4 linked regions of the Anolis sagrei genome follow. The protein of the gene in region 4 purifies or fractionates together with the protein of the main gene of each other region. This does not show direct contact. Links are inferred from orthologs where the notes say so. Each region holds a gene or a part of one and is shown on either strand. Other genes may lie near its edges.

What was found.
Region 1: the proteins of POLR2G (region 4) and RPRD2 purify together in Homo sapiens (affinity purification with mass spectrometry; 3 studies listed by BioGRID and IntAct, counting the BioPlex papers as one, with this or other methods). This does not show direct contact. The link is inferred for Anolis sagrei from reciprocal best matches to the Homo sapiens genes POLR2G and RPRD2.
Region 2: the proteins of POLR2G (region 4) and GPN3 purify together in Homo sapiens (affinity purification with mass spectrometry; 3 studies listed by BioGRID and IntAct, counting the BioPlex papers as one, with this or other methods). This does not show direct contact. The link is inferred for Anolis sagrei from reciprocal best matches to the Homo sapiens genes POLR2G and GPN3.
Region 3: the proteins of POLR2G (region 4) and SCAF1 purify together in Homo sapiens (affinity purification with mass spectrometry; 3 studies listed by BioGRID and IntAct, counting the BioPlex papers as one, with this or other methods). This does not show direct contact. The link is inferred for Anolis sagrei from reciprocal best matches to the Homo sapiens genes POLR2G and SCAF1.

Annotation. Positions count from the first base shown.
Region 1 is NC_090032.1:6,033,852-6,040,743, forward strand, and holds the start of RPRD2 (regulation of nuclear pre-mRNA domain-containing protein 2), read left to right. Parts: upstream 1-3,887; 5' UTR 3,888-3,941; coding exon 3,942-4,224; intron 4,225-6,892.
Region 2 is NC_090034.1:42,354,012-42,361,899, forward strand, and holds the start of GPN3 (GPN-loop GTPase 3), read left to right. Parts: upstream 1-4,887; 5' UTR 4,888-5,085; coding exon 5,086-5,133; intron 5,134-7,615; coding exon 7,616-7,724; intron 7,725-7,888. UniProt on the Homo sapiens protein: Small GTPase required for proper localization of RNA polymerase II (RNAPII). May act at an RNAP assembly step prior to nuclear import.
Region 3 is NC_090026.1:29,332,460-29,339,982, reverse strand, and holds the start of SCAF1 (splicing factor, arginine/serine-rich 19), read right to left. Parts: upstream 3,009-7,523; 5' UTR 2,768-3,008; intron 1-2,767.
Region 4 is NC_090032.1:12,908,778-12,916,336, forward strand, and holds the start of POLR2G (DNA-directed RNA polymerase II subunit RPB7), read right to left. Parts: upstream 3,018-7,559; 5' UTR 2,899-3,017; coding exon 2,887-2,898; intron 784-2,886; coding exon 674-783; intron 1-673. Other genes in the region: ZBTB3 (zinc finger and BTB domain-containing protein 3), read left to right, coding at 4,949-6,310. UniProt on the Homo sapiens protein: Core component of RNA polymerase II (Pol II), a DNA-dependent RNA polymerase which synthesizes mRNA precursors and many functional non-coding RNAs using the four ribonucleoside triphosphates as substrates.

The sequences.
Region 1 (6,892 bases), about 6.9 Mb from region 4:
ATTCCAGTATAGTGGTATAGGGTAATATATAATACTAATATTGTGCTATGCTAATATAATATATTGTATGTATGTACACATAATATTTATCATAATATTGTAATACAATATAATAATATAATAATTATATATTTTATATTCCATGTTATATTATTAATAATACTGCAGTATAGTGGTTTAGCACAATATAGTAATATATAATATGAATATTGTGCTATGCTAATAATATAATGTATTGTGTGTACATATAATATTGATCATAATATTGTAATACAATATAATAATATATAACAATTATATATTTTATATTACACGTAATATTACTAATAATATTGCAGTATAGTGGATCATAATATTGTAATACAATATAATAATTAATAATTATATATTTTATATTACATGTTATATTATTATTAATACTGCAGTATAGTGGTTTAGCACAATATAGTAATATATAATAGGAATATTGTGCTATGCAAATAATATAATATATTTTATGTACATATAATATTGATCATTATGTTGTAATACAATATAGTAATAATATACAACAATTATATATTTTATATTACATGTTATATTACTAATAATATTGCAGTATAGTGGTATAGTGCAATATATAATACTAATATTGTGCTATGCTAATATAATATATTGTATGTACATATAATATTTATCATAATATTGTAAAACAATTAAATAATTTTATTTTTCACATTACATGTAATATTACTAATAATATTGCAGTATAGTGGTATAGTGCAATATAGTAATATATAATACTAAGGTTGTGCTATGCTAATAATATAATATATTGTATGTACATATAATATTGATCATAATAGTGTAATACAATATAATACTATAATAATGTATTTTATATTACATGTAATATTACTAATAATATTGCAGTATAGTGGTATCGCACAATATAGTAATATATTATATATATTATATAGTATATTATATAATATATAGTATATATATAATATATATAGTATAATATATTATATATAATATAGCAATATAGTATAATATAATATATTATATTTACATATAATATTGACCAAAATATTGTAATATAATACAATAATTATATATTTTATATCACATGTAATATTGCTAATAATATAAGATATTGTATGTACATATAGTATTGATCATAACATTGTATATAATACAATATAATAATTAAATATATATCTTATATCACATGTAATATTACTAATAATACAACAGTATAATGGTATGGTGCAATATAGTAATATATAATACAAGTATTGTGCTATGCTAATAATATATTGTATGTATATATAATATTGATCAAAATATTGTAATACAATATAATATGTAATATTACGAATAATACTGCAGTATAATGGTATGATGCAATATAGAAATATATAATACTAAGATTGTGCTATGCTAATATATATTGTAATATTCTTAATAATATTGAGTATAGTGGTATGGGACAATATAGTAATATATAATACTAATACTGTGCTATGCTAATAATATAATATATTGCATGTACATGCATACATACCCTTCGGGTGAGGTATAAATGTCATAAATACTTCCATATAATCCAGTTCAATCTGCATTCTGAAACAGGATTATATGGCAGTGTAGATGGGGCCTAATGTTCTATTTCGCACCTTCTACTCATTGGAAGATGCCTTTCGCCATCAATTTGACGCAATGGAGCAATGGCTTCAAACGACAGGAAAGGAGATTCCACCTGAACACGAGGAAGAACTTCCTGACTGTGAAAGCTGTTCAGCAGTGGAACTCTCTGCCTCAGGGTGTGGTGGAGTCTCCTTCTTTGGGAGCTTTTAAACAGAGGCTGGATGACCATCTGTTAGGAGTGCTTTGAATGTGATTTCCCTGCTTCTTGGCAGAATAGGGTTGGACTAGATGACCCACCAGGTCTCTTCCAACTCTAGGATTCATAGATCCTTTAAAAACAGACATTTTTACTATTGTTTACCTTTAAAAAAACAAAAGATTGAGAAATAAACACTAGTACAATTGGGGGAAAAAGTCTTGAAGGAGCCTCAAAAGTGCACTCTGATCTTTTTCACGTGTTTTCGTAAATTTGGGTTCAGCCACACTGGAAGATTGATGCGGTTTGACACCACTATGGCTCAATACTATATGAAACTGGAGTTTTGCGCATGCGCAGAGGCGTCCTCCCCTTTTTTGAGTCTTTAGTCCGCGCATGCTCTAAAGCACAGCTGGGTTAGGTTAGCAGCGCATGCGCAGTTGTTTCATTTCTTCCCACTGCTGCGTTTGAGTTCAATGCCGCCTCCTTTTCATTCTCGCGTTCTATTCGCAGCCTCATTGGAGGAGCGCGTTCTCATTCCGCTTTCCTATTGGTTACTCCGAAAGTAGGCGGGCAAGGTTCCACCAATAAGGGTCCGGCAAACGCCACCTTTTGGCTGCTTCGTCAGCCTGAGCAATCGTTCCTTTGGCCTCCTTGGGCACGTGGTTGGGATCTCTTGCGCATGCGTAGCGTGGTTGCCAGGCTAAATGATTGATTGGTGGAGTGGGCGGGGCAATGGGCAAGATAAATTTTCCATTGGGAAGAGATAGAAAATTTTAACGGGGGGGAAATTGCTGTTCTTCCTTTTGAAATGTGCATTTTCCTACCTGTATTAAATATTTTAAAATTAAATATTGTTTATTAAATTGAATATTTTGATATTATTTCAATTTATTAAAACATCAAATATGGGAAATACTAGAAATATTTTAAAACATTTTAATCTATTGAAATATTTGTATTAAATATTTTAAAAATTAAAATTGTTTATTAAATTTAATATTTTAATATTTAAATCCAATATTATTTAAAATTAAATATTAAAAACATTTTAATCTATTGAAATATTTAAGATGGCAAATACTAAAATATTAAAATATTAAATTTAATATTGCTCGCCAGTACGCCTGCGCGGGGATGGAAGCGAAGGGTGGGCGGAGCTTGAGCAAAGGGGCGGGGCCGACTTTTTTTCCCTTTGGAAGAACTTCAGCGCTTGGGAGTCTCTTGCTCGTCAGTGCGCCTGCGCGGAGATTGAAGAGAGGAGTGGGGCGGGGCTTGAAAAAAGGGGCGGGGCCTACTTTTCTCTTTGGAATAAGTTTAGCGCTTGGGAGGCCAGTGCGCCTGCGCGGGGATGGAAGCGGAGGGTGGGCGGAGCTTGAGAAAAGGGGCGGGGCCTATATCTTTCCCTTTGGAATAACTTCAGCGCTTGGGAGTTTGGAAAGCCAGTGCGCCTGCGCGGGGATGTAAGCTAAGGGTGGGCGGGGCTTGCAAAGGGGCGGGGCCTATTTCTTTTCCCTTTGGAATAACTTCAGCGCTTGGGAGTTTGGGAGGCCAGTGCGCCTGCGCGGGGATGGAAGATAAGGGTGGGCGGGGCTTGCGAAAAGGGGCGGGGACTACTTCTGTTCCCTTGGAATAATTTCAGAGCTTGGGAGACTCTTGGTCGCCAGTGCGCCTGCGCGGGGATGGAAGCGAGGAGTGGGCGGGGCTTGCAAAAAGGGGCGGGGGCTACTTTTCCCTTTGGAATAACTTTAGCGCTTGGGAGGCCAGTGCGTCTGCGCGGAGATGGAAGAGAAGGTGGGCGGGGCTTGCGAAAAGGGGCGGGGACTACTTCTTTTCCTTTTGGTATAACTTCAGCGCTTGGGAGTTTGGGAGGCCAGTGCGCCTGCGCGGGGATGGAAGATAAGGGTGGGCGGAGCTTGCGAAAAGGGGCGGGGCCTACTTTTCCCTTCAGCGCTTGAGAGTTTGTGAGGCCAATGCGCCTGCGCGGGGATGGAGGCGTGTGCGAGAAAGGGATTGAACCGTCCCCCGCGCCTGCGCAGTGAGGGTTCCAAAAGCGCGCCTGCGCACTGACGCGTCTTCTCCCCTCCCCTCAGCGGCGTTGCTTGTGCGACCGATGAGGGGAGGCAAAATGGCGGCCGGCGGTGGCGGCAAGGCCTCCTCCTCCTCCTCTTCGTCGTCGTCCTCGTCGTCCTCGTCTTCCTCCTCCTCCTCGGCGGCTGCGGCGCCTTCCTCCTCCTCCTCCGCCTCGTCGTCTTCGCTGGAGGCCTCGCTGGACAGGAAGCTGCAGGCCGTGACCAACACCATGGAGTCCATCCAGGGCCTGTCGTCGTGGTGCCTGGAGAACAAGCGCCACCACCACGCCATCGTCCGGCACTGGATCCAGAACCTGCGACGAGGTGAGGCCTAGGAAAATGAGGGGCTTCGGACAGGACGCTAGGCCGCAGGCCCCGCCCACGAGGCACACTCAAGGATATCAGGGTGATGATGATAATAATAATAATAATAATAATAATTGGGTTGCTGTGAGTTTTCAGGTCTGTCTGTCCACTTTCCCAGCAGCATTCTCTCCTGACGTTTCTCCCCCATCTATGGCAGGCACCCTCAGAGGTTGTGAGGTTTCCAGGTCTGAAAATTCACAGTAATTATTATTATTATTATTGTTATTATTATTATTATTATTGGGTTGCTGTGAGTATTCAGGTCTGTCTGGACATGTCCCAGCAGCATTCTCTCCTGACGTTTCTCCCCCATCTATGGCAGGCATCCTCAGAGGTTGTGAGGTTTCCAGGCCTGAAAATTCACAGCAACCCATTATTATTATTATTATTATTATTATTATTATTATTATTATTGGGTTGCTGTGAGTATTCTGGGCTGTCTGGACATGTCCCAGGAGCATTCTCTCCTGACGTTTCTCCCCCATCTATGGCAGGCATCCTCAGAGGTTGTGAGGTTTCCAGGTCTGAAAATTCACAGCAACCCATTATTATTATTATTATTATTATTATTGAATTGCTGTGATATAATTGTGATAATAATAATAGGGTTGTGACATAATTGTGATAATAATAATAATAATAATAATAATAATTGGGTTGCTGTGAGTTTTCAGGTCTGTCTGGCCTCTTTTCCAGCAGCATTCTGTCCTGACGTTTCTCCCACATCTATGGTAGGCATCCTCAGAGGTTGGGAGGTTTCCAGGTCTGAAAATTCACAGCAACCAATTATTATTATTATTATTATTATTATTGGGTTGCTGTGAGTTTTCCTGGCTGTCTGGCCATGTCCCAGAAGCATTATCTCCTGACATTTTGCCCACATCTATGGCAGGCATCCTCAGAGGTTGTGAGGTTTCCAGGTCTGAAAATTCACAGCAACCCAGTAATCTTCTTCCCTGAATCTACAATTTGGTGATGGATCTGGGCATTGTATGTTTTTACCCTGTTTCCCCTTCTGCTCCCTCACCCATATTGTGCTTCTGTAGTTATATTTATATTTTTAATGTACCAAACATACCAAGTTTGTATGGAAATGTGACTATTTCCTGTGCTGGTCAATGACCGAAATAAATGATTTGATTGGTTTTAGGTTGCTGTGATATAATTGTGATAATAATAGGGTTGTGACATGATTGTGATAATAATAATAATAATAATTGGGTTGCTGTGAGTTTTCAGGTACCTCTGCCCACATTCCAGCAGCCTTCCCTCCTGACGACATTTCAATAATAATAATAATAATAATAATATAAACGGTCCCTTTTTTCTGCACCAACAAACTGCATGTTGACATCTCACCGGGTAGGCTGCATCTATATTGCAGAATTAATGTGTGGCTTGTTGTGAGTTTTCTGGACTTTCTGGCCATGTCCCAGAAGCATTCTCTCCTGATGTTTTGCCCACATCTATGACAGGCATCCCCAAAGTTTGTCAGGTCTGTTGGCCAAATCCCCAAAACAGCCTTACCTTTGGGTTGCTGTGAGTTTTCAGGTCTGTCTGGCCACTTTTCCAGCAGCATTCTCTCCTGATGTTTCGCCCACATCCATGGCAGGCATCTTCAGAGGTTGTGGGGTTCCCAGGTCTGAAAATTCACAGCAACCCATTATTATTATTATTGGGTTGCTGTGAGTTTTCAGGTTTGTCTGGCCACGTTCCAGCAGCATTCCCTCCTGACGTTTCGCCCTCATCCATGGCAAGAATCCTCAGAGGTTGAAGGGGGGGGGGGGTCTGTTGGAAACTAGGCAAGCAAGCATCCTCACTCTCTCTATTATTATTATTATTATTATTATTATTATTATATTGTTGTGAGGCCTGTTGGAAACTAGGCAAATGGGGTTTATATATATCCCTGTGGAATGATGTCCAAAGCGGGAAAAAGAATTCTCATCTGCTTGAGGTATATGAATGTTGTAATTGGCCACCTTGATTAGCATTGAATGGCCTTGCAGTTTCAAAGCCAGGCTCCTGCCTGGGGAAATCCTTATTATTAGATATAATAATAACAGAATATTATGTTATTATTTTTTATTCATTCTTTCTGTGTGTTGTCAAAGGCTTTCATGGCTGGAATCACTGGGTTGCTATGAGTTTTCTGGGCTGTCTGGGCATATTCCAGCAGCATTCCCTCCTGACGTTTCGCCCACATCCATGGCAGGTATCCTCAGAGGTTGAAGGGCTTTGTTGGAAACTAGGCAAGCATTGCAAAGTCTTGCAGCTTCAAAGCCTGGCTGATTTCTGCCTGGGGGGAATCCTTTGTTGGGAGGTGCTGATGTTTTGGAAGAGATTGGGAGACGGATGGCGAGAGGGGGGGTATTAAAGGCTTCCTTTTCTGCCCCTTTGGCTCCCATCATCTAGTTTTGTTGTTGTCGGTTACTGCCTCCAAAGTCCAAAATATCTTCCTTCAAAGTCCGAATACCTGCCTTCAAAGTCCAAATACCTGCCTTCAAAGTCCAAATATCTGCCTTCAAAGTCCAAATATATGCTTCCAAAGTCCAAATATATGCTTCCAAAGTCCAAAATATATGCCTCTTTAACCCTCTAGGGCAGGCAGGGGCCAACTTGGGCC
Region 2 (7,888 bases), on a different chromosome or scaffold from region 4:
CACCACTGAAATGCCACCTCCGAAAAAGCCCTGAAGCCCACAACACATCACAAACTGTGTAATGCAATTGTGGATTAATTTATTTGGGGCTGTAAAGCTGGCTTCTTGGTGGCTAAACTACACAAGTACAGTTTGTTGTGATCTGGAGTAGACAGAAAGCGGGGAAAGGTTTTTACGTTCACCTTTCTGTATCTAAGGAATGAGCAAATCGGTATAAAAGATTCCGATGGAAACATGTGGTATTATTATATCATTATTATTTGTATGCCACTTTTTCTCGCTTAAAATGAGACTCAAAAGTGGCAAATGACGCTGAAAACAACCAGGTAATGCTTAAAGACAACCTATGCTATAAATCTGGGTGCCAAGCTGAAGGCAGGCAGAAAAGAGTTGGTCACATTAGCCCTCTGGATGTCAGGGAAGCAGAAGGGCTGGGCAACAATGTTTTCGTTTGAGCAGCTTGGAAAAGTTACTTTGTTGAACTACAACGACCAGCACATTGTCAGCCAGCAAGGCCTGGGAGTCTAACTGAGCTAAATGGGGCTCCTGAAGTTTTTGTCTCCACAGTGTCAGGGGAACCCATTTTTCTTTTCTGGCTCCTGAAGTGAAACCCAGATACAATCCCCAATGATCCCCAAGTTCTAGTCCTCCAGGTGTTTTGGACTTCAACTCCCAGCATTCTCAGCTGCCTTGGCCAATGATAAGGGATTCTGGGAGCTAGAGTCCAAATGATAGCCCCATGGGCATATACTGCAGGTTGCTTTGAGGGTTCTTTGAAGAAGGAAGCCCATCCATGTTTTGGAGGGTAGATCTCTGCTGCAGAACGAATGCAGCTTGACACAACTGGGCTCAATGTGATGACATCCTGGCACCAGTCCTCTTTGACAGAGAAGGCTGAAGGCATTGTAAAACTACAGCACCTAGGAGTCTATAGGACAGAGCCAGGGCATTTATTCGACGGTGTAAATCCGGCATGGGCAAACCTTGGCCCTCCAGGTGTTTTGGACTTCAATTGTTTCTGTCTGCAGACTAATTCAACCAGAGAAGTCAACCACAGCAGAGTACTTGATGAACCAACCTGAACACAGCATATTATTGGAGAACACAGAAATGCTGGATCACTCTAACAACTGTGTAGTCTGACTACACAGAGAAGCCACTGAAATTTCAACAGAAAGGAGGAAACCATGAAAATTGACAAAATCTGGCTACCAGTATTAAAAAAAAAACCCTAAAACCAGGACAGTAAATAAAGAACAACACTCAGAAAACAGGGGATTTCCAGACAGAAACAATCAGGGCTAGTTAACACCTCCCAATAAAGGATTCCCCTAAGCAGGAAGCAGCCAGGCTTTGAAGCTGCAAGGCTATTCAATGCTAATCAAGCTGGCCAATTGCAACATTCACAGTTGCCTCCAACACAAGAGTTCTTTCTCCCACCCTGGACATTCCACAGATATGTAAACCTCACTTGCCTAGTTTCCAACAGACCTCACAACCTCTGACGATGCCTGCCACAGATGTGGGTGAAACGTCAGGAGAGAATGCTTCTGGAACATGGCTATACAGCCCGGAAAATTCACAGCAACCCTATATATATATATATATATATATCAATCACATTAATAATATTATAATGCAATACAATATAATACTATATAATACTTATATTGTGCTATGCTTGTGTGTATGTGTGTGTGTGTGTATATATATATATATATATATATCTGTCTCAACGTATCTCAGCGTACCAGCCCGGACGCTAAGATGTTCTGGGGAGGCCCTACTCTCGGTCCCGCCCCCTTTGCAGGTGCAGCTGGTGGGGATGAGGGACAGGGCCTTCTCAGTGGTGGGCCTTCAGCTCTATAACTCCCTTCCTAGTGAAATCAGATTGACTCTCTCCCTCCTGTCTTTAAAAAGTTAAAACTTGGCTATGGAACCAAGCATTTAGAGAGTAGTACAGGGCAACATGCAGCTATGGAGTGATTTTTTGTGTGTGTGTCAGGAGTGACTTGAGAAACTGCAAATCGCTTCTGGTGTGAGAGAATTGACAGTCTGCAAGGACGTTGCTCGGGGACAGCTGGATGTTTTGATGTTTTACCATCTTTGTGGGAGGCTTCTCTCATGTCCCCGCACGGGGAGCTGGAGCTGATAGAGAGTTCATCCACACTCTCCCCGGATTCGAACCTCTGACCTGTAGGTCTTCAGTCCTGCCGGCACAGGGGTTTAACAAAGTGAATGGAATGTAATGTAATTGTAACGGATTTTGGATTATGATTTTGAGTCTACATGCATTGTTTAACAGCTTATTTAATGTATTTATATGCTATTGTTTTTATGATTTTAATGCACAATGTATTTTTGTTTGTATTTTTTTATTTTTAATGTGGCATTGAATATTGCCAAATTGGAAGCTGCTCAGAGTCCCCTCCGGGGTTGAGAGAGAGCAGGGTAAAAATGCAGTAAATAAATATTATAATGTAATACAATAATTATATAATATAATATATTCTAATATTCTAATATAATAGTACTAATATATGAAATAGAATACTACTGATAATATATAATATAGAATTATAATACAGTTTGTTGTATATTTGTATATTTTAAGTTATAATGTTTTTAATTGTGTGCTACTTTGAGCCTCCATATGGAGAGATAAAGCGGGATGTAAATAAACAGATGCATCTCGATCTAGCCATGGTGATGCATGCTTTAGTCAAATCCTGTCTGGACTACTGCAATGCTCTGAACGTGGGGCTGCTTTTCAAGATAGTTTGGAAGCTTCAATTAGTCCAGAGATCAGCAGCCAGACTATTCACGGGAGCGCCATTCAGGGAGCAGACAACTCCCATGTTATGACAGCTCCACTGGCTGCCAGTCCACTTCGGGGCTACATATAAAGTGCTGATCATTACCTTTAAAGCCCTAAACAGTTCAGGCTCAGACTATTTGACAAACCACACCCCCACTCATAAACCAGACACTATCATCGGAGGGAGCCCTCCTCTTGGTCCCATCCCCCGTCACAAGCGCAGCTGGTGGGAACGAGAGGGAACGATTCTATGGGAATCAGGACAGCCCCATCACTCCTCTCCTTTTAAAAACCCCCAATTACAAACCTATTTTTACACTTTAGCCTTTGGAGAGGAAGATGACTAGTGTCATTGATTTCACTTCATGTCACAACGCTGACAGTAACTGCCTTAACTTATTGGAGAGCCACACCTCATCTATATTATTTTTATACAGGTTTTACCTGCTTAATGTGTTATTTATGAGGCCTGATTGATAATGTTTTAGCCAAGGCTGTTTTATCTTATCCTATTTGTGTATTTTAAATCTGTTTATTTTAATTGGACTACTTGTTGGTTCTATAATGTACCCTTGGTTAATTATGCTTTTAAACTGCCAATATTTTAAACATTGCCTTTCAATGGCAAGGATCCTGAATGAAGTCTGTGAACTAAACATGTAACAAATGTGAAGTTTTCTTTTTTATAATTTATACTGTATTTTACACTGTCTTGTTATATATGCCAATAAAGGCCTATTGGATAGGTTGGTTTTACCTTATTACTGCATCTCCCATTGAATGTCTGCCAATTGTTTTTTGGAAGCTGTCCTGAATCCCTTACGTGGAGAGAAGGCGGGTCAGAAATAAAGTTTATTATTATTATTATTATTATTATTATTATTATAAATACACCAAGACTAGTACCTAGCAAACAAGATCACTCTGCTTGCTGTTGTATTGGATCACACGTTGGACACTTCCCAAGTGTCTAGGACTGTGTGATGTATCGACAAATAATGCATGCAGATTCGAGTAAGGTGGCCTTTTGCTGCTGACAGAGGGTAATGTTGTCAGTGCCTATTGTGTTTAAGTGGAGACCAAGGCCTTTAGGCACTGCACCCAGTGTGCCGATCACCACTGGGACCACCTTTACTGGCTTGTGCCAAAGTCTTTGCAGTTCAATCTTTAAATCCTTGTATTGTGTCAGCTTTTCCAGTTATATCTCTTCAATCCTACTGTCGACTGGGATTGCAACATTATTATTTGAAACACAACAAGATGAGACCACAGCAAACAAAATCAGTCTGCTGGCTGTTGTACTGGATCACACGTCGGACACTTCCCAAGTGTCAAGGACTGTGTGATATATTGGCAAATAATGTGTGCAGATCCCAGTAGGGTGGCCTTTTGCAGCTGACAGATGGTAATTTTGTCAGCACCGATTGTGTTTAAGTGCAGGCCAAGGTCTTCAGGCACTGCACCCAGTGTGCCGATCACCACTGGGACTTTGCAGTTCGATCTTTAAATTCTCGTATCGTGTCAGCTTTTCTAGTTGTTTCTATCCAATCCTGCACATCATCATCATCATTATTATTATCCTAGAACTCTCTTGGTCATGCTGTTTGGGCCTCCAACTCCCAGAAGCCCTGGGAGCTGGAGACATTCTGGTCGAACATTCTGGGAGTTGGAGGCCCAAACAGCTGGAGGGCCAGAGATTGAGGAGGGCTTTGCCCTGGTTCTCCAGTGTGACTCTGGAGTCAACCTCCCGCACTTGATCGGCCAGGGCTCAATGCGATGGGCTCCTGGGAGTGGCAGTTTGCGGCATCCTTTCGCAGAAAAGACCTCTCTTACCCAGGCAGCCTCAGCGAAGGGGGCGGCAGCTCTTCCTCCTCCTCCGACCGCCCTCCCAAGCGGCACATGCAGCGCTCCCAGCAGCAGCCCAGTTCCAGGCGGATGGAGGCCAGAAATCCCGAAAGCGAGGGACTTCTCGCGAGAATACACGTTTGTTCGCCTCCTTGCTCGAGGAGGAAGTGAGCCGCGCAGGCGCAGTGCCATCCCACCTTGGCCCCTCCTGCCTTGTGGGCGGGGCTAGCGGACGCCCTGAAAAAATAATAATAAGGGAAATGCCCTGCTCTGCGGTTCTTGTCGTTGCCCACCCCCTTCCGTCGTGGAGGAAATGACGTGCAAAGCCTTGCATGCAGGCGAGAGGACTCAAAGGAGGCATGGGCGACGGGTAGCCCTTTGGTCCAAACTAATCCGGCGTCGTCGCTGGGCGAGAGGTTGCGATGCCTCGCTTTGCCCAGCTCGTGATGGGCCCTGCGGGGAGCGGAAAGGTGGGCCAGCTCCTGTCTCGTTGGTGTAGGGCAGGTACGGGCAAACTTCGGCCCTCCAGAAGTTTTGGACTTCGACTCCCACAATTCCTGGCTCAGGCCCTTTCCTTTCCCCCCTCAGCCGCATAAGGAAGGCTGAGAGGAGATATGATAGCCATGTATAAGTATGTGAGAGGAAGTCATAGGGAGGAAGGAGCAAACTTGTTTTCTGCTTCCTTGGAGACTAGGATGCAATGGAACAATGGCTTCAAACTACAAGAAAGGAGATTCCATCTGAACATGAGGAAGAACTTCCTGACTGTGAGAGCCGTTCAGCAGTGGAACTCTCTGCCCCGGAGTGTGGTGGAGGCTCCTTCTTTGGAAGCTTTTAAACAGAGGCTGTATGGCCATCTATCGTGGGTGATTTGAATGCAATTTTCCTGCATCTTGGCAGGGGGTTGGACTGGATGGCCCATGAGGTCTCTTCCAACTATGATTCTATGGAGGGCCGAAGTTTAAGCGGCTGAGGGGGAAAAGGAAAAGGTCTGAGGCCAGGAATTGTGGGACTTGAAGTCCAAAACCCCTGGAGGGCTGAAGTTTACCCATGCCTGGTGTAGGGGATACTATTGTATTGGGTTGCTGTGAGTTTTCCTGATTATATGGCCACATTCCTTGATTTGTGTTTGGGCAATGCTGCGTTTGGGGGTCCCTCTGTAGACTTGTTCGCAGCTACATGGTAAACGGTAGACTCCTGCAGAGGTGAGAAGATCCCTCTTGTCCTTGGATGAACGTAGCATTTGTTGGATTTTCTTAGTGGGTCTGCAGATAGCTTGTAGGTTATGTTTCTTCATTGGAGGAATCAAGGAACATGAAAGGCACTGCAGACTGATCCAACCAGATAAATTAGCCATAGCAGAACACTTGGTGAACCAACCTGGACACAGCATATTATTGCAGAACACAGAAATGCTCACTCTTACAAACTTACCATGTTAGACTACACAGAGAAGCCATTGAAATCCATAAGCAGGTGGACAATTTCAACAAAAAGGAGGAAACAATGAAAATGAATAAAATCTGGCTCCCAGTATTTTAAAACTCTAAAATCAGGACAGTAAATAAAGAACAAAAAAAAAAGAGGATTTCCAGACAGAAACAATCCAGGCCAGCTAATACTTCCCAACCAAGGATTCCCCCGGACAAGAAGCAGCCAGGCTTTCAAGCTGCAGAGCCATTCAGTTCTAATCAAGGTGGCCAGTTGCAACATTCACACTTGCCTCCAACACACAAGAGTTCTTTCTCCCACCCTGGACATTCCACATATATATAAACCCCACTTGTCTAGTTTCCAACAGACCTCACAACCTCTGAGGATGCCTGCCATAGATGTGGGTGAAACATCAGGAGAGAATGCTTCTGGAACATGGCCAGGCAGCCCGGAAAACTCACAGCAACCCAGTGATTCCGGCCATGAAAGCCTTCAACAACACATTACTGTTGTGTTGTTTTAAATACACTAGAGTACAAGAAAGATAATCGTGAGAAGAAGAAGCATACCCATGAATACATACATAACATTCTTAACAATAGCCATGAAAGCATAGATGTCTTAGAGAGGGCGTGAGCTTGGCCTGTTGTATTGGGGCAAGTTCTTCCAGATTCCCTGGATGCATTTCTTTCTTTGCTTTTACAGAAAAGTCTCCCTACAGAGAAAACATTCACAAAACGTAGGACCCTTCCACACAGCTATATAACTCAGAATATCAAGGCAGAAAATCCCCCAATATCTGCTTTGAAATGGGTTATCTGAGTCCACACAGCCATATATTCCAGCTCAAAGCAGAAAATGTTGGGTTTTATTCAGCTGTCTGGAAGGAGCCTCAGTTTAAAATATGTTTATTTTATATGTATTATTATTATTATTTGTTTATTTCTATCTCGCATTTCTCCATGCAAGGGGATTCAAAGTGGCTTACAACCTGTAAAATCAGACAGTTACAGTAAAAAAATACAACAAAAATCCCCATGTGACAATTAGCAATGTATATGTATATATTATTTTTATTTCATACATTCATGTGTTTTATACATTCTAAAGAAGGGAGCAGCCCCACAGTGTAAAGGACATAAAAGCACCCCTGTTATAAAAGGCATCTCAGGCCCCTTCTACATTGCTCTCTATACCAAGATCTTATCCCAGATTATCCGGCCATGTAGACTCATGTAATCCAGTTCAAAACAGATAATCTGGAATCAGTTCTTAGGGTATAGGGTAGTGTAGAAGGGGCCCCACTGTTGCTTTTGAGGGGGTGATCTGCCCCTGTTTTGAGACCCTCATCTTCACTCACTGTTTAATGCAGTTCAATGCCAGTTTTGAACTCTGACGGCCAGACTCTTGGAAAGAAAGGATCTTTCTCCCCAGACGGTAATGGCTTGATTGCTGATTTCTGGTCCCACAAGGGTGGGACTGGAGACGCTTGATGTCTTTCCCTGTGTTTCATTTCAGAGCACCTACTGCTCCACAATGGTCCAGCACTGCGAGACCCTGAATCGCTCAGTCCAAGTGGTGAACCTGGACCCCGCAGCTGAGCACTTTGACTATCATGTCATGGCAGGTCAGACCAAGCATGCCTTCCCTGCCCCTTGACAGCATATTGGTTGGCAACTATTATTTATTATTTACAGTATTTATATTCCGCCCTTCTCACCTCTCAGGGGACTCAGGGCGGATTACAGTGTACACATATATGGCAAACATTCAATGCCAATTTGACATACA
Region 3 (7,523 bases), on a different chromosome or scaffold from region 4:
TGAATGTTGTTGTTCCACTCTGAACTTTTTACTCCAATCATCACACTGATAACACTTAAAACAATACTCGTCATGCCACTTCGTCACTTTCAACTTGACCACTTTGAAATTTGAGTTGCTTTTATGCCTTACCTTTTCTCCCCACTCCTTATCCAGTCAACACAATTCTCCTTCATCAAAACTGCCTCTCAGACCTACAACTCCCGCAATGTATATCATCTCCTACATTATTCACTACTTTAGCTCAGTAAAGATTTTGTCGCCCAGTCAAAAGATCAGGAAGTGGGAAAAGTATGAGAATCAACAGAACAGCCCAGGGATGAGGGGAAAGGCAGCCCTCCAGATATTATAGAGTAGCAACTCTTGACCAATCAGCCAAAAGTGCTAATGGAATTCCAGGTCAACAACATCTAAAGACCTACAAGTTGTCCATCCATTGATGAGACAATATTGACATTGCTGGACAAACATTCTGACCTGGAAAAAGGAGGTTTCTTACGCAGAATATGCTGCTGCCTCTGAGGGTGGGAGAGTCTCCTTTTCTGGAGGTTTTTAAGCAGTGGCTGGAGGGCCATCTGCCAGGAATGCTTTCTGTATTCCTGCTTGACGGAATGGGGTTGGACTGGATGGCCCTTGGGGTGTCTTCCAACTCAATTATCCTATATTGATCCAATTCTGTCTCCTCCAGAAAAATTGCACCTCCAATTCCAATTAACATCCCACTGCCACAATCCACTCCTTGCCTGAAGTTCTTGATAATTTGCTCAAACACCTCCAAAACATCACATCCAAAATATAAGGGGTGCCCTGTTTTTCCTTTATAGATTTCTATGCCCTCAAACACTTCAAAGTTCACAGTCTAGAAGCCCCTAAAATGCCCACTTTCCTTTTCAAAGGGTGCATCTGCACTGATGAACGAATACAGTTTGACATCACTTTCAGTGTCACAGCTTAATGCTATGGAATTATGGGTGGTGTAGTTTGGTGAGCAACCAGGCCTCTTTGGCAGAGGAGGTGCAAGACCTTGTAAAACTTTAACTCCAAAGACTCCATAGTCTTGAGCCCTGGCACTTCAAGTGGTACCAAACGGCATTAATTCCACAGTGTAGGTACACCCTCAAATAAGAAAGGCCTTGTGGACCTGGAAATTCAATCTCATGGGTTCCATTGGGATTTAAAATCCAGGTAAATCTCCAAAGGGTTATATCCATATACATCTCATCCCTTTTTACTTCCACAGACATCACAATCCCTGAAATGGACCAAAGTGAGGACCACGTAAGCCCTTTCTACACTGCCATATAAAATCCAGATTATCCGTTTTGGGAACTGCTTAATATGGCCATGTCGACTCACATAATCGTGTTCAAAAAAGAAAATGTGGATTATCTGCTGGATTATATGGCAGTGTAGAAGAGGCAAAGAGACACAGGCACAAAGTAACAAGCCATGACTGACATAGGGCCCCCGTCTACACTGAACAATTAATGCAGCTCACTTCAAACCACCAACTCCCACAGAAGCACAAAAAGAAAGAAAGCCCTCAATGCGCATCTGTGGTTTATGGGCCTCAGGCCCCATTTACACTGCCATATGAAATCCAGATTATCTTCACTGAAGTGGGTTATATAGCATTGTAGATTTATATAATGCGGTTCAAAGCAAATAGTGTATATTATCTGATATGAAAATCTGAATTATATGGCAGTATGTACTCATATAATCCAGTTCAAAGCAGACAATGTGGATTATCTGATTTGATAATGTGGATTACAAGGTAGTGTAGACTCATATAATCCAGTTCAAAGCAGACAATGTGGATTATCTGCTTTGATAATGTGGATTATATGGCAGTGTAGACTCATATTATCCGGTTCAATGCAAATAGTGTGGATTATCTGTTTTGATAACATAGATTATATGGCAGTGTAGACTCACAGAACCCGGTTCAAAGAAGACCATGTGGATTATCTGCTTTGATAATCTGGATCACATGGCAGTGTAGACTCATATAATCCGGTTCAATGCAGATAGTGTGGATTATCTCATATAATGTCGATTATATGAATCTACACTTCCATATAATACAGATTTAATAATTATATGACTATGAAAGTGTAGTCATATAATCCAGTTCAAAGCAGACAATGTAGATTATCTCATATAATGTTGATTATATGAGTCTACACTTCCATACAATACAGATTATTAAATCTGTATTATATGGAAGTGTAGACTCATATAATCCAGTTCAAAGCAGACAATGTGGATTATCGGCTTTGATAATCTGCATTATATGGCAGTGTAGACCCAAATAATCCGGTTCAAAGCAAACAATGTGGATTATCTGCTTTGATAATCTTGATTATATGGCAACGTAAACTCATATAATCCGGTTCAAAGCAGATAATCCACATAACGTAGATCATATGCAAGGGGAGAAGGGGTGTCAATGTGCTTCCAGGATTTTCCTATGCAATCGACTGCAGGGCGAAACCACTTTCTTCCATACCGCTTTGAAACTGCGTTAACTGCTCAGTGCAGATGGGGCCACGATCCCAAGCGGGTTTACCTCCCCGACCCTCCCCTTGCCTGACAGGGAAACGCTCTTTCCCCGTTTCGCCTTCTCGCCTGCACTACGCGCACCCCCTCGGCCTCCCCTCAGGAGAAAACAAGACCAGACCCCCAGCGTCGCCCAGGGAAGCTGCACCGCCCTCCCCGCGGCCTCCCTCCCTCCCTCCCCCGCAAAGAGAGCTGCCATTATTACCCGGCTCCTCCGGGTGGTAGGCCCTTCCGCCCGCCCACTTTCAGGAGAACGGGAAGAAAAGCGGGAGGAGGAGGAGGAGGCGCGGCCACTGCCGCCGAGTCTGCCCGGGCCCGGCCTCTGCGGCGGCCATTTTACTCCTCTCGGCCCGACTGCGGGAAGGGCGGGGCCACAGGACTTCGGTGGCACTCTGGGAAATGTAGTCCCTCGCTGGCGGCAGTTAGCGACGCGCAGCCAGAGAGAGGACTACGATTCCCGGAAAGACCTTCGCGTCATCCTGGAAGCGGCGCGGGGGCCGACGGGAGGCGGAGTGCCGGAGACGGGCGGGGCCAAGAGCGAGGAGGAGGCCGCTTCCGCAGTGCCGCCCGAAGCCCAAGAGGAAAGCCTAGGTCTAGGTTTGGTTGTTTCACGACATTTCAGGTTCCCGAGTCTCCAGTCGTTTGGATGGAATTTTTCAGGCTGGAGCTGCCTTGCCATATCATCCAGTTGCAGCATGCAGATCAAGGCCCTTCTACAAAGCAGATAATCCACTTGATCTGCTTTGAACTGGATTATCTGTGTCTACACTGCCATATGGGGAAGTTTAGATTGTTTTTAACTTTTAATGTTCAGTAATATGGAAAGTGCAATATAATAATATAGTACAATATAATAATATAGGTTGTTTTTAACTTTTAATGTTCAGTAATAAGGAAAGTGCAATATAATAATATAGCACAATATAATAATATAGATGGTTTTTAACCTTAAATGTTCAATAATATAGAAAGTGCAATATAATAATATAGTACAGCATAATAATATAGATTGTTTTTAACTTTTAATGTTCAATAATATGGAAACTGCAATATAATAATATAGCACAATATAATAATATAGATTGTTTTTAACTTTTAATGTTCAATCATACGGGAAGTGCAATATAATAATATAGTACAATATAATAATATATAATATAATTATTATATATTATACTAGCCATCCCCTGCCATGCGTTGCTGTGGCCCAGTCTGTGTGTATGTGCTTTGTGTGTGTATATATTTGTGTATATATGTATATGTGTCTGTTTGCATGTGTATATGTATATATGGTTATGCACATGAGCTGTAATGTGGGTTTTTTTTTACTTTTAAAATCTCTTCTGCAGTGTTTTTCAGTGTTTTTATGAGTGATGGTCACTTGTTGGCCTGATACATGTATTTTGTCCAAATTTGGTGTCAATTCCTCCAGTGGTTCTTGAGTTATGTTAATCCCACAAACAAACATTACATTTTTATTTATATAGATTACTAATAATATCGCACTATAGTACAATAGGGCCCATGGTGGCACAACGGGTTAAACCGTTGACCTGCTGAACTTGCTGACTGAAAGTTCACCGGTTCGAATCCAGGGAGCAGAGTGAACCACGCTGTCAGCCCCAGCTTCTGCCAACCTAGCAGTTCGAAAACATGCAAATGTGAGTAGATCAATAGGTACAGCTCTAGGCAGGAAGGTAATGGTGTTCCATGCAATCATGCCGGCCACATGACCTTGGGAGCATCTCCAGACAACGCTGGCTCTTCGGCTTAGAAATGGAGATGAACACCAACTCCCAGAATCGGACATGACTAGACTTATTGTCAAGTGTGGTGTTGAGAGAAAAATCCTGAGAGTGCCTTGGACTGTGAGAAGATCAAACCAGTCCATACGCTAGGAAATAAAGCCCAACTGCTTACTGGAGGGAAGGATATTAGAGGCAAAGATCCTTTTCAAAGCAGACAATCCAGATTTTATATGGCAGTATAGAAGGGGCCTATTTTTAAATATACAATGATAAAGAAAGTTTAACTCTTCCAAATCCCCACCCAAAAAAGTTTTAGTGTTTTAAATACCAGTTGCGTATACTTTAACCAGAAAGCCAAAATACTCCAAAATTCAAGATTGTTCACATGGATGACTGCAAGGAGTGACACCTTTGCTTTCTGGTGGTTCAATGCACACAAACTTTGCTTCATTCACAAATTATTAAAAATGATGTGCATAAAATGATGGTTGGGCAGCTTGTATAAAGTGTGCATGAGGTAAAGCTAAAGGTTTTCCCCTGACACTAAGTCCAGTTGTGTCCAACTCTGGGGTGTGGTGCTCATCTCCATTTCCAAGCCGAAGAGCCGGCATTGTCCGTAGACATCTTCAAGGTCATTATTTTGCACTTATTGACCGCCACTCTCAGCCCTAGGGCGACTCGTGGCGGCATGACTGCATGGAACGCCGTTACTTTCCCGTCGGAGCAGTACCTATTGATCTACTCACATTTGTATGTTTTCGAACTACTAGGATGGTAGAAGCTGGGGCTGACAGCAGAAGCTCACGCCGCTCCCCAGAATTGAACCTGTGAACTTTCAGTCAACAAGCTCAGCAGCTCACTGCATCACTGGGGGTATGTATGAAACATAAATTAATTTGATGAGGTATCTTGGGTCTCACCTCCAAAACTATATCATTAAATACATGCAAATGTTCCAAAATCCGGGGCGGAAATCCAAAAACTCTCTGGTCTCAAGCATTTCAGGTATAGCTCAATTTGTAAATTGAGATGTCTAATAGAAACCGGAAATGGAGGTGGCATGAAATGCTTCCACATTGATATATCTCTTTGTACTATGAGCATCACTTCCTCAGACCTCTGCATCACGTGAATTGTAGTTCCGGCCTATAAAGTCGTGCTGTTTTTGCTCCTTTTTCTAGCCTCCCTTGACCAATATTTCATGTCATTCATCAGGATAAAGCTACACTTTGCAATGAGACAAGTTCTTCTGGCAGGGCTTCTCAAACTCTAGTCCTCCAGGTGTTTTGGACTTCAACTGCCAGAAGCCTCAGCTGCTTTGGCTGATGATCAGGGATTCTGGGAAGTGAAGTCCAAAACTCACTTCCCAGAGTGTGGGCGACACTAATGGGATTGTTAGAGAAGAGATGCCATTCATTCTTTGCTTCTTGGCATGGTGGGAGATGTAGTTCTCTCCCACTTTACTGGCCATTGTGTGATACTATGTTTATCACTACAGTTCTATCTACACAATATCTTTTTTTAAAATATTGCAATAATAATATCTATCACAGACATGGGCAAATTTTGGCCTTCCAGGTGTTCTGGACTCCAACTCCCACAATTCCTAACAGCCTCAGGCCCTTAAGCGGCTGAGGGGGAAAAGGAAAGGGCCTGAGGCTGTTAGGAATTGTGGGAGTTGGAGTCCAGAACACCTGGAAGGCCAAAATTTGCCCATGCCTGATCTATAGTATCAACAATTAAGAGGAAATCTTACACTGTATTCAAACTATAATCACATTCCAATCAATCCTAATCCAAACAAGTACATTTTGGAAGAATTTGTGGGCAGTGCTTGACTTTGGCTGGATCTACACTGCCAAATAATCTAGATGATCAAAGCCGATAATCCACATGATCTATTTTAAACTGGATTATATGAGTCTACATTGCCATATAATTCCATTCAGGTTAGATAATCTGGATTGTATATGGCAGTGTGAATCCAGACACAATTAAAAAACACATGGTTACAAATATACCAATATTAAAAATATATAGTTCAAAGATATCCCCTTCACTACTAATACAATGCAGATTTAAAATTCATAGTTCAAAATTGACTCGGTAGGCTTTCCAAAAGGAGGAGGTCCTTATTTGTGTCTTAAATTTGGATAAAGCTGGAAGAAAGGACTTTGAAAGTGTTATCGAAAATCCCCAACCCCTTCCCAAATAAAAATAAGACATAGTTTGGTGCACAAATTGTAGTTTTCCAAGGACAGAAGGCCAGATGAATGGGAAATGGGCTCCATCCCTATGACCCGCCCTTGAACCTCCCAAGGACCACTAGCAGCCCACACTCCATAGGCCCCAATCCCCCGCACATTGGCACACAACCCCAGCTCAGCAGCATAACCCAAGCCATGACAGAAATATTAAAAACTGCTGCTAGTAAGTTACTCTGCTATACATTCATGGGGAGGGTCTTTTGTTAATAAGCCCATTTGACCAACAAGCTGGATCACTCCAGTGGATGTTGGAGGCTTCAGCAGAGATCGCCCAGCTCATTCCTCCCTCCTTCTCAGCCTAGAAGGAAGATGGACAGTTACAATGTATCTGAAACACTTCCATCACGCAAGCCAATGTATCTGAAACACTTCAATCACCCAATACTATGTATCTCGTAGTGGGTTAAACCCCTGTGCTGGCAGGACTGAGGACCGACAGGTCACAGGTTCGAATCCGGGGAGAGGCGGATGAGCTCCCTCTATCAGCTCCAGCTCCCCATGCGGGGACATGAGAGAAGCCTCCCACAAGGATGATAAAACATCAAATCATCCAGGCGTCCCCTGGGAAACGTCCTTGCAGACGGCCAATTCTCTCACACCAGAAGCGACTTGCAGTTTCTCAAGTCGCTCCTGACACGACAAAAAATATTATTTTTTATTCTTGGCCTTCTGTGAATGTATCCAAGAATGCAGGGGATAAATATAAACCAGTACAGCAAAAGCACCACATGAACCCTCATTCTTCACACATACACACCCTTTCCCTCTCGCTATGAGTCCATAACAAGCACCACATGGACGCTCTTCTATGAAATTAAGGCAAATGTTCATGAACCTATGAACTCTAGTCACCTCTCTTGAGCAACTCCAGATGCCCCTTCCTCAACTTGTGTGAGAACCAGTGATGGGACATAATCTGTGGGACAAAGGACCTTCCTGAATCTCA
Region 4 (7,559 bases):
AACCTACAGAATTTTCTTTGTAACTTGGGAACTATCTGTGTTGGTATTTGTGTTTTAATTTTCGTCCTATGTATTTTAATGTATGTATTTAAATGCTGTTGTGTTTTACCTGTGTGCTTTAATTACAGGTAACAAATAATAATAATAGAATTCATGAGAAACAACTGGAAAAGTTTACACAGAACAAGGATTTAAAGATCAAACTGCAAAGACTCTGGCACAAATCAGTCAAGGTGGTCCCAGTGTTGATCAGCACATTGAGTGCAGTGCCTAAAGACCTTGACCTGCACTTAAAAACAATCGGGAGCTGACAAAATTGCCATCTGTCAGCTGCAAAAGGCCACCCAACTAGGATCTGCACACATAATTCACTGATACATCACACAGTCGTAGACACTTGGGAAGTGTACAACATGTGATTGAATACAAAAGCCAGCATAGTGATTTTGTATGTTGTGTACAGATCTTGTTGTGTATCAAATAATACTAATAATAATTATAGGAGAGGGCATAATGATTTAATGCCGTTCTACTTGAAAACCCAAGTAGTGGCCTTGGAGATAACCCACACACAAAACTGTTCAATTATCTGGGCAGAGCTGTCAATAATAATAATAATAATAATACAAGCAAGTTCAATGGGAAAAGATAATCTCTAGCCACTTTTACTTACTTTCCAGTGCAGGTCCCCTCCACTTCGGTGAACAGCTTTTGCTTCACAGTGTTGAGGAGGTTAGGCCCAAAGTAACGTGGATGCAGCAAAATTTCATGCTCCAAAGATATCTGGAGGAAGAGAATACAGGGGTTAGCGCCCACTAAATAAATAACAAGAACTTTAAACAGTTCAGAGAAAACTCCAACTACTTCAGGGCATAAGGAAGAGCCAGTCACATTCTCCTGGAGACTCACAAACATCATCCCCTGATGTTTCCCTATAGCAATTGGCATTCAGATGCTTACACAATACCTGTGAATATGTAGGCAGCATATTTAATGGGCAGTCTTCCTTTTGACTCCATGAAACCAGGTGAAAACCTTTCTTTTCTTTAATGATAAATATAATAATATTTATTTGTTATAGAAGGCTTTCATGGCCGGAATCCTAGCTTGATGTGTGTTTTTCGGGCTGTATGGCCATGTTCCAGAAGCATTCTCTTCTGATGTTTTGCCTGGATCTATAGCAGGCATCCTCAGAGGTTGTGAGCTCCTCTGGATGTCTGCCACAGATGCAGGTGAAATGTCAGGAGAGAATGCTTCTGGAACATGGCCATATACCCCGGAAAACATGCAACAACCCAATATTTATTTATTATTTATTTATGATGGGGTTGTAGTGGTGGTGGGATTGGGGAAAATACTGGTATTTTGAATGTTAATTTCAAAGATGGCACGTTTCTATGTATTATACAATAATTATTTTTTTAAAATGCCCACCAAAAATTATTATTTATTTATGACATTTATATCCCACCCTTCTCACTGCAAAAGGGATTAAGAGCGACTTACAAAGTATATGTACATACAATATATTATATTATTAGCATAGCACAATATTAGTATTATATATTACTATTTTGTACTGTATGACTATACTGTAATATTGTTAGTAATATTAAATGTAATATATAATACATTATTATTATATTATTATATTGTATTACAATATTACAATCAATATTATATGAGCATACAATTTATTACATTATAATAGTCGTATCAAGATAATCATAGAATCATAGAATCAAAGAGTTGGAAGAGACCTCTTGGGCCATCCAGTCCAACCCTCTGCCAAGAAGCAGGAATATTGCATTCAAATCACCCCTGACAAATGGCCATCCAGCCTCTGCTTAAAAGCTTCCAAAGAAGGAGCCTCCACCACACTCCGGGGCAGAGAGTTCCACTGCTGAACAGCTCTCGCAGTCAGGAAGTTCTTCCTCATGTTCAGATGGAATTTCCTCTCTTGTAGTTTGAAGCCATTGTTCCGCGTCCTAGTCTCCAAGGAAGCAGAAAACAAGCTTTCTCCCTCCTCCCTGTGGCTTCTTCTCATGTATGTATACATAGCTTTCATATCTCCTCTCAGCCTTCTCTTCTTCAGGCTAAACATGCCCAGCTCCTTTAGCCGCTCCTCATAGGGCTTGTTCGCCAGACCTTTTATCATTTTAGTCACTCTCCTCTGGACACATTCCAGCTTGTCAATATCTCTCTTGAATTGTGGTGCCCAGAATTGGACACAATATTCCAGGTGTGGTCTAACCAAAGCAGAATAGAGCATGGGGAGCATGACTTCCTGGGTCAAGTAGGGTCATGCTGATCATGCAGCTTGACCCTACTTTATCTGCCTGCGCTCAATGCAGGGAAAAGTAAAGGCCTTGGGAAACTACAACTTCCAGGATTCCATATCATTGAGCCATTGCAGCAAAAGTGGGGTCAAACTGGGTTAATTCTGCAATGTAGATGCACCCAATTTCACTCCTAATAAGCATGCAGCCAGCTTGCCATATTCTTGTCGAATTCAAAACAGCAGAGAGGAAACAACCAGGCACATCTTAACACCTCTCAACAGAACATTTTCCCAGGCTCAGCCAGGCCGTCAAATGCTAATAAAGGTGGTCAGCTGAAACATTCACACCTAGCTTCAGCAGAGAAGAGCTCTTTGCCCCAGCCATTCCACAGATATATAAACGCATTGTCCTAATTCTAAGAGACCTCACTACCTCTGAGGATGCTTGCCATACATGCAGGCGAAACGTCAGGAGAGAATGCCTCTAGAACATGGCCCTATAGCCCGAAAAAACCTACAAGAACCTAGTGATTCCAGCCATGAAAGCCTTCGACAATACATTAGTCGTTTAGATGCTTTAAATACAGCTCCGGCCATTAACTTACATGATAAAACATGCTCCCAGCTCCAACAGCCACCTTTTCCCTTCCTGTAAACCAGCTTCCTCCTGATTGGCTGCGCCGGTCGGAGCGCCCTCCTCCTTAAAGGAACAGCACCTTCTCCCGTGATCCCTTCGTATTTGAACCGTTGCAAACTCACAGTGAGTGACGTTTCACCTCGCTAGGAGGCTTCTCCAATCGGAATGTAGGACACAGATGGTGATATTTCTTGACCAATGGCGAGACAGAACGCAGCAAGTTCCTTCCCCTTCAAGAGCGACAGATGGAGGAGAAAACATTCCCGCGAAGGGGGCGGGGGGGAGGAAGAGAGGCTGTCGCGGAGAGTGACAGAGAGTGCCAGCCAATCAGGCGAAAGGGGCGTGTCCCTCGGGGCCTCTGCTTTGTGGTGGGTAAGTGGGGGGAATCGAGGGGCTCCCTCTCCGCCCGGCGCGCCCCGTCGGAAGAGAGGGAAGCGCTGCTGGCACCGTGTCGGGGCTGGGAAGGGGGCCTCTTCCTTCTGGGGCGAGGGAGGTCTCGGGCAGGGCGGGGGCGGGGGGAGCCGGCTGGGGGTGCTCGTGGGGGCTGAGAGATGGGGGGAAATGGGGGCCCACGACGCCACAAAAGCATCGGAAGTGACTGGACGGACGAACCACAGGCCGCTGCTGAGAGAAATTGTGGGAGTTGGAGGCCGAGACCCCTGGAGGGCCAAAGTGTGCCCATGCCTGGGTCAGGCCCTTCAAACGGCCTGTTTCTGTGTCCGAACCCACAGGATCTCTTCGCTCCCCTGGAGAGGCCCTACTCGCGCTCCCACCGCCCTCGCAGGCGCCCTTGGGGGGGGACGAGGGAGAGGGCCTTCCCGGTGGTGGCCCCTCCACTCTGGCACTCACTCCCCAGGGACATTAGGCATGCCCCAACCCTGGCAGTCTTTAGGAGGAGCCTGAAAACGTGGTTGTTCCGGCGTGCCTTCCCAGAATAAGGAGAACTCTCAGCAATATGTCCTCACAATGCACTTTAATTTATTTATTTATCGTGTCATCAGCAACCATTGTATTACAATTCTAACAGAGCAAAACAAACACAGAGATTAAAAAGGGAAAAGGGAAAAAAACACACAGATTTTGCAAATTTGGTATTTGGCTAAATGTCCTTTGACCAGTATCTGGCCATTTGGAGTGCCTCTGGTGTTGCTGCAAGAAGGTCCTCCATTGTGCATGTGGCAGGGCTCAGGTTGCATTGCAGCAGGTGGTCAGTGGTTTGCTCTTCTCCGCACTCGCATGCCAAGGATTCCACCCTGTAGCCCCATTTCTGAAGGTTGGCTCTGCATCTCTTGGTGCCAGTGCGCAGTCTGTTCAGTGCCTTCCAAGTCGCCCAGTCCTCTGTGTGCCCAGAAGGGAGTCTCTCATCTGGTATCAGCCATGAATTGAGGTGCTGGGTTTGGGCCTGCCACTTTTGGACTCTCGCTTGCTGGGGTGTTCCAGCGAGTGTCTCTGTAGATCTAAGAAAACTATGTCTTGATTTGAGTCGTTGACGTGCTGGCTGATATCCAAACAGGGGATGAGCTGGAGATGTCTCTGCCTTGGTCCTTTCACTATTGGCTGCTACTTCCCGGCGGATGTCAGGTGGTGCAATACCGGCTAAGCAGTGTAATTTCTTAAATACTGACTTAGGATGGATTGCGTTCCCTCGTTTCTCTCTGAAAAATCCGACCCCAGTTACATTTTACCTGTTCACATCAGCATATTCTCAATTTTAATCTATTACATTTGGCCCGACCATTTTTAATATGTCATTATTGATTGTTGTTTTTGTTATGTGATTTATATGATTTGTATTTTATTGATTGTTGATTAATGTTGTGCTATTGATGTTTGTTTGATGTACTTCGGGCTTGGCCTCATGTAAGCCGCACCTTGGGGAGATGGTAGCGGGGTACAAATAAAGTTTATTATTTATTATTATTATTATTATTATTATTATTATTTAAAGTTACCAAGTGTCTTCTCTTGCTGTCCCAAAGGAGGCTGAGCTATGCCACTGAACGCCCAACGACCGTGAGAGAGGCCTCGGCATGGAGTTCCCCAACCACAGCCAGAACGTGCTGCGGAGCTTGTGGGAGCAGCAGCATGATGGCTTCCTGTGCGACTGCACCGTCCTGGTGGGCAGTACCCAGTTCCTGGCCCACCGAGCTGTGTTGGCCTCCTGCAGCACTTTCTTCCACATGTTCTACAAGGAGCGCCTGGACAAGCGGGACGTGGTGTCCATCAACAACGAGATCGTCACTGCCCCGGCATTCGAACTCTTGCTGGAATTCATGTACAAAGGCAGCCTGTCTTTCAACGACATGCCAGTCGAGGATGTCTTGGCAGCGGCCAGCTACCTGCACATGAATGACATTGTTAAGGTGTGCAAAAAGAAGCTTCAGGCCCGAGCGTTGACTGAAGCGGACAGCACCAAGCGGGAAGAGGAGGCCCCGGGCAATTCAGAACTTCTGCCCAGTACCTCCAAGTTTCAGCCTCCGATGCCTGAGCCTCAGCCCTTCCCATTGCCATCCCTGTGTCAGAAAGACAGTGACAAAAAAGAGGAGTGGAAAGGAGGAGAGAAGGTTGCTTTGGAGGAAACTGCGGCCTCTACTTTGGATGTGGCAGATACAACGCAGCCAGGCATGGAAATCACGCTGCCAACAAAGCCACCACAAGCACCCGTGATTGACATTTCTTTCTCTAGTCCCAGCAGTTCCACTGAAACAATCCCACACAATAGCTTTTCTCTAGCAAATGAAGGTTCTTCTAACACAGACCACGCTCCAGAGGGGTATTTGGAGCAAAGGACAGACACATTTTGTCAGAAGGAAACAAACCGGCCGTCTGTCAAGGTCAAAGTGGAAGCCATTGTGATTTCCGACGAGGAGTCTGATGCGACAGAGCAACTGGAGGGACAGGGCGCAGAGTTCAGATTGGAAAGCATCTTCCAAAGGTCTGCCTCAGAGACAGCGCTCCCTGGAAGATGTGGGCGCCATTTGGACACGTTTGAAGACCCTGCTGGGATAGACGAAGTGACGTCGGAAAGCGGCTTCCTGTCCCAAGAGCACCTCCCGTATCACATGATCCCCATGCCTGGCGGGCAGAGCTTCTCGAACATGGTGACGCCGCCCCTCCATGAACAGATGTACCTGCCGGATTTCGAGTCCCACTCCAGCTTCGGCATCTTTACCGACGATGTGCCCACCTGCAAGACGTGCGGGAAGACCTTCTCGTGCTCCTACACACTCCGGCGCCACGCCACCGTCCACACACGGGAACGGCCCTACGAATGCCGCTACTGCATGCGGAGCTACACGCAGTCCGGCGACCTTTACCGGCACATTCGCAAAGCCCACAATGAGGACCTGGCAGCCAAGCGTTGCAAACAGGACATGGAGAACCCTTCATAGGTCTCAGGTCCCAGCAGAGAACAAGGTTATTTCTGATTATTTCCTGTAGATACCATGCGATTTAGGACTTCTTTGAAGGTGGTGATTGGTCTGCATCCAACTTTTTCTCCTCTCCTCCAGTCACTCTCACAACCAGAGCTTTCCAAATGATTCATCATTGTGTTGCTGGAGGCTTTCATGGCCAGAATCTCTGGGTTGTGGTGAGTTTTCTGAGCTGTAGGGTAATGTTGCAGAAGCATTCTTTCCTGACATTTCACCTACATCTACAGCAGGCATTTTCAGAGGTTGTGAGGTCTGTTGGAAACTAGGTAATTGGAGTTTATACAGGGTGAGGCAGCATAACTTCCTTTTTTCAAAACTTAATAAAACCCATTGTATGAATCAGATTTTTTTTATTTTTTTTATAGTGTAGGCACATACCTAAAGTGTTGTTTTACGTAGTTTTGAAGATCAAATTAGGTAGGTGACATCCCCCATTCTCCAAACACTGAGTAAACCGATTTCTAGTGTTGCTGACTCTTGCCACCATAGCAGGCGTTCTGTTGGCAGTTTCTTCCTGGATGTTGGTCTTCAAATCTTGGAGGGTCCTTGGACGGTTCACATAAACACGGGATTTCAAAAAACCCCACAGAAAAAAATCACAATGGGCCAAATCTGGAGAGCGGGCCGGCCACTCCAAATCCGCTCGAAAAGTAGGCCTCAACGACAAAAGCACGCTCCTCACTGTTCCAATGCATGATAGCAACTGAACTGTGTCAGGACAAAACTTTATACTCCCGCCTCTCGAACGAGACCACTAGCGCTCCACTACGTCTTCAACCGACTGAATGGCACGCATTTTAAAAAAGGAAGTTATGCTGCCGCACCCTGTATATCTGTGGAATGCTCAGGGTGGGAGAAAGAACTCTTGTCTGTTGGAGGCAGGTGTGAATGTTGCCATTAGCCACCCTGTTTAGCATTGAAAAGCCTTTCGGCTTCAAGGTCTGGCTGCTTCCTGCCTGGGGGAATCCTTTGTTGGAAGATGTTAGCTGGCCCTGATTGATTCATGTCTGGAATTCCTCTGTTTTCTGAGTGTTGTTCTTTATTTACTGTCCTGATTTTAGAGTTTTTTTTAATACTAGTAGCCAGTTTTTGTTCATTTTCATGGTTTCCTCCTTTTTGTTGAAATTTTCCACATGCTTGTGAATTTCAATGGCTGTATAATCTGACATGATGGTTGTGAGAGTGGTCCAGCATTTCTGTGTTCTCA